Macaca mulatta: one gene and its partners. The protein of the gene in region 2 binds, or shares a complex with, the protein of the main gene of each other region. Links are inferred from orthologs where the notes say so. Each region holds a gene or a part of one and is shown on either strand. Other genes may lie near its edges.

What was found. Proteins that work in one complex are often made in the same cells at the same time.
Region 1: SPAG5 (region 2) and PLK1 share a complex: the UniProt entries of both Homo sapiens proteins name them as parts of the astrin (SPAG5)-kinastrin (SKAP) complex. The link is inferred for Macaca mulatta from reciprocal best matches to the Homo sapiens genes SPAG5 and PLK1.
Region 3: SPAG5 (region 2) and KNSTRN share a complex: the UniProt entries of both Homo sapiens proteins name them as parts of the astrin (SPAG5)-kinastrin (SKAP) complex. The link is inferred for Macaca mulatta from reciprocal best matches to the Homo sapiens genes SPAG5 and KNSTRN.

What each region holds. Positions count from the first base shown.
Region 1 is NC_133425.1:23,221,122-23,225,084, forward strand, and holds the start of PLK1 (serine/threonine-protein kinase PLK1), read left to right. Parts: upstream 1-1,163; 5' UTR 1,164-1,574; coding exon 1,575-1,982; intron 1,983-2,721; coding exon 2,722-2,890; intron 2,891-3,641; coding exon 3,642-3,786; intron 3,787-3,963. UniProt on the Homo sapiens protein: Serine/threonine-protein kinase that performs several important functions throughout M phase of the cell cycle, including the regulation of centrosome maturation and spindle assembly, the removal of cohesins from chromosome arms, the inactivation of anaphase-promoting complex/cyclosome (APC/C) inhibitors, and the regulation of mitotic exit and cytokinesis.
Region 2 is NC_133421.1:37,292,977-37,296,476, reverse strand, and holds part of SPAG5 (sperm-associated antigen 5), read left to right. Parts: intron 1-676; coding exon 677-1,767; intron 1,768-1,876; coding exon 1,877-2,051; intron 2,052-3,500. UniProt on the Homo sapiens protein: Essential component of the mitotic spindle required for normal chromosome segregation and progression into anaphase. Required for chromosome alignment, normal timing of sister chromatid segregation, and maintenance of spindle pole architecture.
Region 3 is NC_133412.1:17,693,586-17,697,515, forward strand, and holds the start of KNSTRN (small kinetochore-associated protein), read left to right. Parts: upstream 1-1,130; 5' UTR 1,131-1,246; coding exon 1,247-1,455; intron 1,456-1,636; coding exon 1,637-1,731; intron 1,732-3,930. UniProt on the Homo sapiens protein: Essential component of the mitotic spindle required for faithful chromosome segregation and progression into anaphase.

The sequences.
Region 1 (3,963 bases), on a different chromosome or scaffold from region 2:
CGTCTCAAAAAAAAAAAAAAAAAAAAGAACAAAGGGGTGTAAATGGGAACTGTGGCAAACTGAAAGCATGTAGGCACAGAGTTAAGTAGCTAGAGCTGATTTTTTTCAGGAAAGGCCACAAATCCAAATTTTTATGACCTCCTCTTTTAAATGCTGTAAATGTTTTACAATGGCCGGGCATGGCTGCTTATGCCTGTAATCCCAGCACTTTGGGAGGCCGAGGTGGGCAGATCACTTGAGGTCAGGAGTTCAAGACCCGCCTGGCCAACATGGTGAAACCTCTTCTCTACTAAAATTACAAAAATTAGCCGGGCATGGTGGTGCACGCTTGTAATTCCAGCTACTTGAGAGGCTGAGGCGGGAGGACTGCTTGAACGCAGGAAGCAGAGGTTGCAGTGTCAGAGCAAGACTCCGACACACACACACGGTGGTGCACGCTTGTAATTCCAGCTACTTGAGAGGCTGAGGCGGGAGGACTGCTTGAACGCAGGAAGCAGAGGTTGCAGTGTCAGAGCAAGACTCCGACACACACACACACACACACACACACACACACACACGTGGGAGGCCAAACAAAACACACACACACACACACACACACGTGGGAGGCCAAACAAAACCCTGCAAGACACATTTGGCTATGACCTGCCAGTTTGCTAGGCATTCTTCCAACCTTCCGTCCCTCTGACCAAGAAACTGAGTGTCCACTATTTTAGGCCCTGGGAAATTCAGTAGCGAGCAGGCCAGACAGCTTCCTTGCATCATGGAGGACTCTGGTACTGTGCTTCTCCAACTTCAGGATGTGTAGGAATCACCTGAGCAGTCTTGTTGAGAGGCGGACACTGACTCGGGAGGTCTGGAGTAGGGCCTGAATGTTTGCCTTTGCGGTTCTAACAAGCTCTCAGGTGATGGCGATGCTGCTGTTCCATGGCCCCTTCTTTAAGCAGCGTTGCTTTGTAATCCGGAGGAGCTCAGAAGCGGCAGTTATTTGAAGGAGCAGACTAGCCATGAAGGTATGTTTGGCAAGCACACTTTTACTTAGATTTTAGTTCAGTTCGGGTGGCTTGGCTGAGAGCTGACGGCATCGGGAGGCGGATGCTAAGGCTTTCTTAAACGACCTGCTGGCATGCCAGTTCCCTACTCTTAGATTGCTTATATTCTAGGTGGGGTGGAGGTGGAGGAAGATTTAAGGAAAAGCTTCCTGGAGGAGGCGCAAGCGAACTGCAGGAGCTTTCCCGGACGCCCGAGAAAGGGAGAAACCCCGAAGGAATTCCTCCCCTCTCGGGGCTGGGTCTCCGCATCCACGCCGGATTTGGTTTCCCAGGCTATCCCACGTGTTCGGGCGTCCCTGTCAATCAAGTTTTTCCCCGGCTGGGTCCGGGTTTAAAGGCAGCTGCTGCGCAGGGCGCTCCCATGGTGCCGCGCGGCGGGCGGGTTTGGATTTTAAATCCCCGCGGCCAATCAGTGGCGCGCAGGCTTTTGTAACGTTCCCAGCGCCGCGTTTGAATTCGGGGAGGAGCTGAGCGGTGCGGAGCGTCTGCTCGGATCCAGGTCAGCAGAGCAGCTCCAGGAGCATGAGTGCGGCGGTGACTGCAGGGAAGCTGGCACGGGCACCGGCCGACCCTGGGAAAGCCGGGGTCCCCGGAGTTGCAGCTCCTGGAGCTCCGGCGGCGGCTCCACCGGCGAAAGAGATCCCGGAGGTCCTAGTGGACCCACGCAGCCGGCGGCGCTATGTGCGGGGCCGCTTTTTGGGCAAGGGTGGCTTTGCCAAGTGCTTCGAGATCTCGGACGCGGACACCAAGGAGGTGTTCGCGGGCAAGATTGTGCCTAAGTCTCTGCTGCTTAAGCCGCACCAGAGGGAGAAGATGTCCATGGAAATATCCATTCACCGCAGCCTCGCCCACCAGCACGTCGTAGGATTCCACGGCTTTTTCGAGGACAACGACTTCGTGTTCGTGGTGTTGGAGCTCTGCCGCCGGAGGGTGAGTGTCGCTGCTGGTTAACTGGAACTGCCTGCGGGGCAGTTGGAGCGCCCAGACCTGGAGCTGCTGGAAAGAGTGCCCAGGAAGGGAGTACCTGGGACTTGGAGCTGCTAGAGAAGGGTGCTGGGAGCCTCCCTCTTAGGTATGGAAAGTGCCTTTGGTAAGGGCTTCTTGGCTCTTGGAGCTGCTGGAGGACGGGGTTCCGGTGAAGTGGAGTCTGAGTCATGTTGCTGATAGGGAGGTCAGCTTCTGGACGCGAGGTACTTGGGGGGAGGGGTGCTGGTAATGGACGCTAGGGCCCTGGAGTGGCCAGGGAGGAGTCCCGGGTTAGTGATGCCGGGCACTGGGAGCTTCCGGAGTGTAGCTGGGTCAGTGAGGGGGTAGTTGGAGCTAGACTTCGGGCCTTCCGAGGGAGATAAGAGTCAGGAAAGGGATCTGCTGCTGGGGACTTCCGGAGTGGGGCTGAGAGAGGACCCCCAGGTAAGGGAGAAAGCTAGTAGGAGAAGGGGTGCTGTGAATGGTTGTGGACAGTGTTAAGGCAGGGTCCAGATGCCAGTTGTCCTGGAAAAGGAATGGGGTGGGGGCATAGGGAAGGAGAGAAACCCACCAAGACCCCTCTTTCATCCTTTGGGAGTCCAGAGTCCAGTCCTGTGCTTCCTTTGCCTGGTAACCCTCTCCCTTCCCCACCGGCCTCAATACCACCTCCCCATCCCTCCTGCCCTCTCCTTCCCATCCACAGTCTCTCCTGGAGCTGCACAAGAGGAGGAAAGCCCTGACTGAGCCTGAGGCCCGATACTACCTAAGGCAAATTGTGCTTGGCTGTCAGTACCTGCACCGAAACCGAGTTATTCACCGAGACCTCAAGCTGGGCAACCTTTTCCTGAATGAAGATCTGGAGGTGAAAATAGGTGAGTTGCTGAGCCTGCAGGGGTGCTTGACATCACTCCAAGAGGCTGGAATTTGGAGGAGGCTGGGAGAAAGGAAGGAGACCAGGAGGAAGGAAGAGGATGGTGGGAAGTTTGGGCTGTTGATTGCCTCTAGAATTCTCTCTTTAGTCCAGAAATTTCAAACAAAGAACCCACAAGTCAGTATCTTGCCTACAGATGCATTATTTTTTGTGCCCCAATACAGCATTTTTCTTTTTTTACAAAGAATTTGAATTTGTTTTTATTTTTTAAATTGGAAGGTTTGACATAAAAATTTTGATTTAGAGCTCCTTTTAAACAGTCATGAAAGCTCCAGTAATACGAGGACAGCATTTTCTTAGGGCAGTCCTTTGCTGGGCTGGAAAGCAGCTGTCCCCTTCAGACTTGTTTGCCACAGTCTCTACTCCTCCCTATTACTTCTTCACAGACTTGCCAAGTCTTGGAGGTTAACTTGCTTGATCCTTGAAGGCACTGGAGTTTTGCTATCCCTGCCAGTTCCCGTTTCGAAGTATAGCCCCTTTCTAAGGGGAGGGGTGAGAAGGGTCACTGGAGGCACCTCCCTGGTGTCAGCATGGCGGGAAGATTCCTGGGCAAGCCTTGCTGCGTACAAGGAGCAGAAGCTTGTGGGATCAAATGGCCCTGGTTCTTGATGGTCAAACCTTAACTAGCCTTCTGCATTGACAGATGGCAGAGGCTGGCATCTAAGTACCCGCTCTTCCTCCCTCTGTCCCAGGGGATTTTGGACTGGCAACCAAAGTCGAATATGACGGGGAGAGGAAGAAGACCCTGTGCGGGACTCCTAATTACATAGCTCCTGAGGTGCTGAGCAAGAAAGGGCACAGTTTCGAGGTGGATGTGTGGTCTATTGGGTGTATCATGTAAGTTGGGAGTTATCTCTGGATCTACCTGGTCTCAGCAGGGGCAACTTTGGGACATCCTACCTGGCTGACCTTTTCTGTGGACCTTTCGGCCTGCTTTACAGCAAACCTACTGCAGGGGACAGGTTACCCCCAAACAAAGCCTAACTGCCATATCTTTCCCTGTCACTGGTGTAT
Region 2 (3,500 bases):
TTCTGACAGCTTGAGCCTTCACTCACACCCTATGGACCCCTCCTACTGTTCATCTACAAGTGCGTTAAGATTTCGGAATGGAAAGGAGTGGGGTCATGTTCAAGTTGCCATCTGCCCATGATACGGATCTATATTCTCAGCCGTTTTTTTTTTTTTGAGACGGAGTTTCGCTCTTGCTGCCCAGGCTGGAGTGCAATGGCACGATCTTGGCTCACTGCAACCTCTACCTCCCGGGTTCAAGCGATTCTTCTGCCTCAGCCTCCTGAGTAGCTGGGATTACAGGTGCCCGCCACCACACCTGGCTAATTCTTGTATTTTTAGTAGAGACAAGGTTTCACCATGTTGGCCAGGCTGGTCTCGAACTCCTAACCTCAGGTGATCCACCCGCCTCGGCCTCCCAAAGTGCTAGGATTATAGGCGTGAGCCACCACGCCCGGCTGTCAGCCTGTTTATAATGTAGGCTGGTTCACTTGGAAGGACCCAAAATGGCTTAGCAGCTTTTCTTTCCCTACTATTGGGTCTCTATATGAGCAACCAAGATTAGCCAAGTTCTTACCTAAGCAGAGGTAGTAAGAATTCTTTTCTTTTTTGAGTTTAGACACTATCTTGCACTCGTAATTGTATGTTGGGAACCGAATTGACCGCCTTAGACAACTACTTTTGTTTCCTTTGGCAGGAAGGCAGCAACAACTCATCTCCAGTGGATTTTGTAAATGCCAAGAGGACAGACTTCCCTTCAGAACATTTCAGTCATTCCTCAAAGTGGCTGGAAGCCTGTCAGCATGAATCAGATGAGCAGCCTCTAGATCCAGTTCCCCAAACTAGCTCTACTCCTAAAACGTCTGAGGAAGCAGTAGACCCACTGGACAACTATGTGGTTAAAACCATCGTCCTTATACCATCTCCACTGGGGCAGCAGCAAGACATGACATTTGAGGCCCATTTAGATACCATGGCAGAGACAAACAGCATATCTTTAAATGAACCTTTGAGAACAGGAGATCTGGTGAGAGAGGAGGTGGCACCCTGCATGGAAGACAGGTTTTCAGAAGTTGTTGCTGCTGTATCTGAGAAAGTTATCTTTCAGGAATCTCCGTCCCATCTCTTAGAGTCTCCACCAAATCCCTCTTCTGAACAACTAAATTGCTCCAAGGAAAGCCTGAGGGACAGTAGGACTGAGGCTGTGCCTGAGGACTTAGTAGTACCTTCTGAAAGTAACGCCTTCTTGCCTTCCTCTTTTCTCTGGCTTTCCCCTTCAACTGCCTTGGCAGCAGATTTCTCTGTCAATCATGTGGACCCAGAGGAGGAAATTGTAGAGCATGGAGCTATGGAGGAAAGAGAAATGAGCTTTCCTACACACCCTAAGGAGTCTGAATCAGAAGATCAAGCACTTGTCTCAAATGTGGAAGATATTCTGTCCACATGCCTGACACCAAATCTAGTAGAAATGGAATCCCAAGCAGCTCCAGGCCCAGCAGTAGAAGATGTTGGTAGGATTCTTGGCTCTGATACAGAGTCTTGGATGTCCCCACTGGCCTGGCTGGAAAAAGGTGTAAATACCTCCGTCATGCTGGAAAATCTCCGCCAAAGCTTATCCATTCCCTCGATGCTTCGGGATGCTGCAATTGGCACTACCCCTTTCTCTACTTGCTCGGTGGGGACTTGGTTTACTCCCTCAGCACCACAGGAAAAGAGTACAAACACATCCCAGGCAGGCCTGGTTGGCACCAAGGACAGTACTTCTGAGACAGAGCGGCTCCTGTGTGGGTAAGTGCCCCTATGTTCTTGCGCCTCGTGAGTTCCATTATCCTGGACCTTCCCCTCCCATCCCTTCCCCTCCCTTTCTTTTTGTCATGTTCTTCTGTTTCTGCTGCAGCCGGCCTCCAGATCTGACTGCCTTGTCTCGACATGACTTGGAAGATAACCTGCTGAGCTCTCTTGTCATTCTGGAGGTTCTCTCCCGCCAGCTTCGGGACTGGAAGAGCCAGCTGGCTGTCCCTCACCCAGAAACCCAGGACAGTAGCACACAGACTGACACATCTCACAGTGGGGTAAGAAGATTCCTTTCAAAGCTTGAAGGATCCCAGTGGGCTCTCTTCCTTGGAATTTAAGCTGAGAAGCTGCCAGAGGGCAAAGGGGACTCCTATCACAAGCTTATACTTAGAACATTTGTAAAAGCTGAGAATCTGGGCAGGCACGGTGGCTGATGCCTATAATCCCACTGCTTTGGGAGGCCAAGGTGGGAGGACTGCTTGAGGCCAGGCATTTGAAACCAGCTTGGGCAACATAGCAAGATCCCATCCCTACAAAATATTTTTTAAAAATCAGCTGGATATGGTTTTGCATGCCTCACTACTCAGGAGGCTGAGGCAGGAGGATCATTTGAGCCCAGGAAGTTAAGGCTGCAGTGAGCTATGATCATGCCACTGCCCTTCAGCCTGGGCAAGACAGTGAGACCCTGTCTCTTAAACAAAAAAGCTGAGGATCTGAAAAATCCCCTTAAAGCTATGGGTAGTCACTATACTCCTGGGGTACATCAAAACTTTCCAAAGTAGTGCAAGCAAGGAAAGTTTTAAAGGAATTGGTTTTTAGAACATCATCTTCCACATGTATTCTTTTTCTTCATTTTTTGCATTGGTAGACTATATTTAATATTTTAAGGAAAATTGTGAATAAGCCTAAAACATTTTTTAAAATAATTTTTATTTTTTGTGGTTACAGAGTAGGTAAATATATTCATGGGGTCCATGAGATGTTTTGATACAGGCATGTGATGGGCAATAATCACATCATGGAAAATGCGGTATCTGTATCTGTCCCTTCAAGCATTTATCCTTTGTGTTACAAGCAATCCAATTATACTCTTAGTTGTTTTTTTTGTTTTTTTTTTTTTTTTTGAGACGGAGTCTCACTCTGTCACCCAGGCTGGAGTGCAATGGTGTGGTCTCGGCTCACTGCAGCCTCCTCCTCCTGGGTTCAAGCGATTCTCCTGCCTCAGCCTCCTGAGTAGCTGGGAATACAGGGGCATGCCACCACACCCAGCTAATTTTTGTATTTTTAGTAGAGACAGGTTTTCACTGTGTTGGCCAGGCTGGTCTCGATTTCCTGACCTTGTGATCCACCTGCCTCAGCCTCCCAAAGTGCTGGGATTACAGGCATGAGCAACTGCGCCCAGCCTGTTTTTTTTTTTTTTTTTGAGACAGAGTTTTGCCGTTGTTGCCCAGGCTGGAGTGCAGTGGTGCGATCTCGGCTCACTGCAACCTCCACCTACCAGGTTCAAGTGATTCTCCTGCCTCAGCCTCCTGAGTAGCTGGGAGTACAGGCATGTGCCACCACACCCAGCTAATTTTGTATTTTTAGTAGAGATGGGGTTTCTCCATGTTGGTCAGGCTGGTCTCGAACTCCTGACCTCAAATTATCCACCCGCCTCTGCCTCCCAAAATGCTGGGATTACAGGCATGAGCCACCACGCCTGGCCTATTTTAGTTATTTTTAAATAT
Region 3 (3,930 bases), on a different chromosome or scaffold from region 2:
AGTGACTTTCCATTACTTTTAGATAAAATCTAATCTCTATACCTTAGCCTGTAAAATTTGTCTTTTGACTTCTTATTTCTCCAGTTTTATCTGTACCACTCTCTTCCTATCTTTCTGTGCCTAGGGAAGAACCCATTTCTGCCTTGGGACTTTGCATTTTCCCCTTTCCCCAATGATTAACTCCCTCTCCTCCTTCCTTAATCGAACATCATCTCAGAGAGGTCTTCCCTGAGCCCCCAATATAATCTAAGTTTCCCTGCTTTTCTATCTTATAGGATTTTGTACTTTCTCTTCATTGTGTGTGAGTGTGTGTGTGTGTGTGTGTGTGTGTTTTGGTTTGGTTTTTGAGATCATGCTCTGTCACCCAGGGTGGAGTGCAGTGGTACAATCTCAGCTCACTGCAACCTCTGCCCCCCGGGGGTCACACAATCCCCCTACCTCAGCCTCCAGGGTAGCTGGGACTACAGGAGCATGCCACGACGCCCAGCTAGTTTTTGTATTTTTTGTAGAGATGGGGTTTCACTATGTTGCCCAGGCTGTTCTTGAACTCCTGGACTCAAGCAATCCACCCGCCTCCACCTCCCAAAGTGCTGAAATTACAGCTGTGAGCCACTGCGGCCAGCCTTCTTCACAATTTCACCACAATCCGTAAATATATATTTATTCAGGTGATTATTTGTTCACTGTCTGTTTCCTAAGTCGTAAACTCCAGGAGGGCAGAGCCAAGGTCAATCTTGATATTTGCTCTCCCTCAGTCCCTCCCACCCACTGAGAACACTGTTGGGTAATCAGGAAGTGCTCAATAAATGCTGGATGAAATGAATGAACTAGTGCATTTAATGATGCAAACTACCCTGTTTATTAGGAGTAGCTTTGAATCGCTACTTAAAATCTGGGTAAGTACTATTAAAATTAGGACCTCAGGTAGGTGCCTCAGGTATCTCAGCCCATAGGTCCTTTTCTTCAAGCTTCACCTGCCACTCTCCTCCTGTAATGTGTAGTTTTCATCCAAATAACCTGTGCTCCTGGCAATATCCCTAACAATCCCAAACTAAATAAAGAGGATTGTGACACGGACCCTTAATGTGGCCACGTTTGCGTCTCCATCCCGGAATATGACGCTGGTAGCTCATTAGCTCCATTCAAGCCTACAAATTGCATCACCCTCCTCCTCCGCCCAGACCTGGGGGCTCCAACACCTTTCGCTAGGTCTGCCTCTGGCCTCCGAGCGAACCTTCCGTACAGCATGGCGGCTCCCGAACCCCCGCCAGGGAACAGAATGTTCCGTACAACATGGCTTTCTACGGAGTGCGATTCCCACCCACTTCCGCCCAGCTACCGGAAGTTTCCATTTGAAACCGAGGCGGCCAACTTGGCAGGCGGCGCGACAGTTGCTTCAGGGCATCTTTTGAAAGAGAGCGACAAGGACTGCGGGCAGGACCGGCGGGCTCCTGGGTTCGGCTCTCCCGGGGCGAGGGACTGGGCTGGATGGGAGGAAGGACGGAAAGAGCTGGGAAAGGAGGATTTTCTCTTTTCCAACCCCGAGCCGAGGCCTGTCGGGTCGCGCTATCCCCAAGCCCACCACTCTCGGGCCCAGTAGTCCAGCGCTGGGTAACATTCATCCTGTACCTTCCAGAGTTCAGCCGTGCCGCCTCGTTACGATGACCAGTGTGGTTAAGACAGTGTATAGCCTGCAGCCCGCCTCTGCGCTGAGCGGCGGCCAGCCCGCAGGTGAGTGCCCACGCCGCGCCCGGGGCACTGCGGCCCGGCCGGGGATGGTCCCGGGAGTGTGGAGATCCAATGGGTGGCGTGGGCACTGGGAGGGTGTCCCGCCGGCCCTGAAAACCTGCGAGCGCCCTATAACCAGGGTGTGTAGGTTTATGATGGGAGTTAGGGGAAGGGCCATGTGGTAGGATTTTAGACCTGCTCTGCATTTTTCTGCCCGCGTATGTACTGTATTCATCAGTTAGATTTAAGTTGTTGGTTATTGTACAATGTTATTCCCATTAAGCTAGGAATCCCCTTCTAACCGGTTATCCGTCTTATTTCCAGACTTGGGTCATCTTGAGGGATTGGGTTTGTTTTCAGGGAGGAAAGAGGAGAATCATTTGAGAAGTGGAATGCTTAGGGTTCTTTGTTCACCTTTACATCTGCGCCGTGTTTCTCGAGATAATTATTGAGAATTACCACATTCTCAATACACGTTTGTTGAGTGAAGTGGGAGAGAGGGGTTAGACCTAGGCAAAGTATTTGAGAAACTTGGGCGAAGAGACAGACATGATTAAAAATAGAGTTTTTAATTGCTTTGCCATCTGCTTTGTGTTGCTTTGCTTGTGGTTCAAAGTCATCTCATGGGGTTTGCAGTCGGGAAACTGCCTAATCTAGAGATTATAGTACAGAATAAGCTTCAGACATCAGAAAACTGTTGCGGGAGATTGTGGAGTAGCTATTTATGATCTCTTCCCAGATGATTCCACACAGCTGGTACATAAACCTTGGCAGGATTGAGCTCTGAAGTAAATAGGCTTTTCTTCAAAGGCTTAATGGGTTGTTTGTTGTCTTGTGTAGCCACAGAACACCTGAATGGTAATCCTGGCACCAGCGGGGACTAGGAGTTGCTGGAAGAACTGGAGCCAGGTCTCAGCTGCTTGCTGTGTCTTTCCCTTAGATGCAGTGCCCTCAGTCAGTGGGCAGTGACTAGCTCTCTCAGCCAAGCTGCGAGTGTTCATCTCTTGGGTTTACATCTCTGTCCCAGCTTTATGATCATATGTAACTGGAACAGTTTCAAATTTTTAGGCTGCCTCCCAGGTTTTTTGTTTTGATTTTGAGCATGGGCTGGATAAGTAATTTATGCACATGTAAAAAAAAAAGTTGGAAAACCATATACAATGATAAACAAGTTTCCTTCCCTTCCTTGACACCAGCCATCCAGTTCCCCTCCCAGTGTCTCCCATTTTTAGGAGACAGCTTTGTGAAATCCTACTAAGTTTTTCCTACATTGCAATCCTTAGGTTTTAGCAAATACGAATTATTGGAACCAATTCTAGTCAATGAAGAGTGTTAATTTTGATCAATCGACTGTTAATTCCATTTTACATGGAGTAGATTTGTTGTTTATAACTTGCTAATACTTGAGAGAGGAGATGATATTTCTCCAAGGTTACTTTTTACTTCAGACAGACACCTCAAAAAGAACCCTTTTAATACCTCATTTGTACCGCATTTCTTCAATTTGATTTGATTGTAATGGCTCTTAAGTTAGGTCAAGCTTAAAGGGGCCATTTTACAGTGAACAAAGTGAGAATGAGTCCAGAAAAGCCTGCGTGTGAGGGTGGGGGTGCTTTTAACTCCAGATAAGTTACTTGAATTTGCTGTAGAACATGAATGATGGACTGTGTGGTTGGGGAGCTGGCACAAGGATGAAGGAAAATTCTCACCTTTGGGGAAGAAGAGTGTTATGGCAGGGCCATTTCTCTGGTTATCTAGCAAGAAGATCAGATTAGAATGCCTAATAGCGAAACTCTAAACTTAACGAAGGGTAAACGAAAGAGCTGGTGGTAGAGGCAGTCAGCATGGAAGAGGAAGGGACCAGACAGGTGGTTTAGAGATGGTCTGTGAAACAACCTATGCAACTGTGAAGTGTTTGATTTATTCAACAAGCAGTTATTGAACCCCTGTTCATATGCCAAATATTCTTCTAGGTGATGGGGACACAAAGATGTCTTAGAGTGGTTAGGAAGATATTCTGGGAAAAAGAACGAAGTAACAATTTAAAAAAACTCAGAGCAGCTCAGTCATGCCTTAGGAGAGTGTGCAGCGTGCTTGGAGTTGCTTAACGAGATGGTACAAGGATTCAGCCGTGTTTTACTTCCACCCTGCTCTCTGCTGGTGTCCATCTCCATGTTCACTTTTACAGCCTCCACCTTTCAG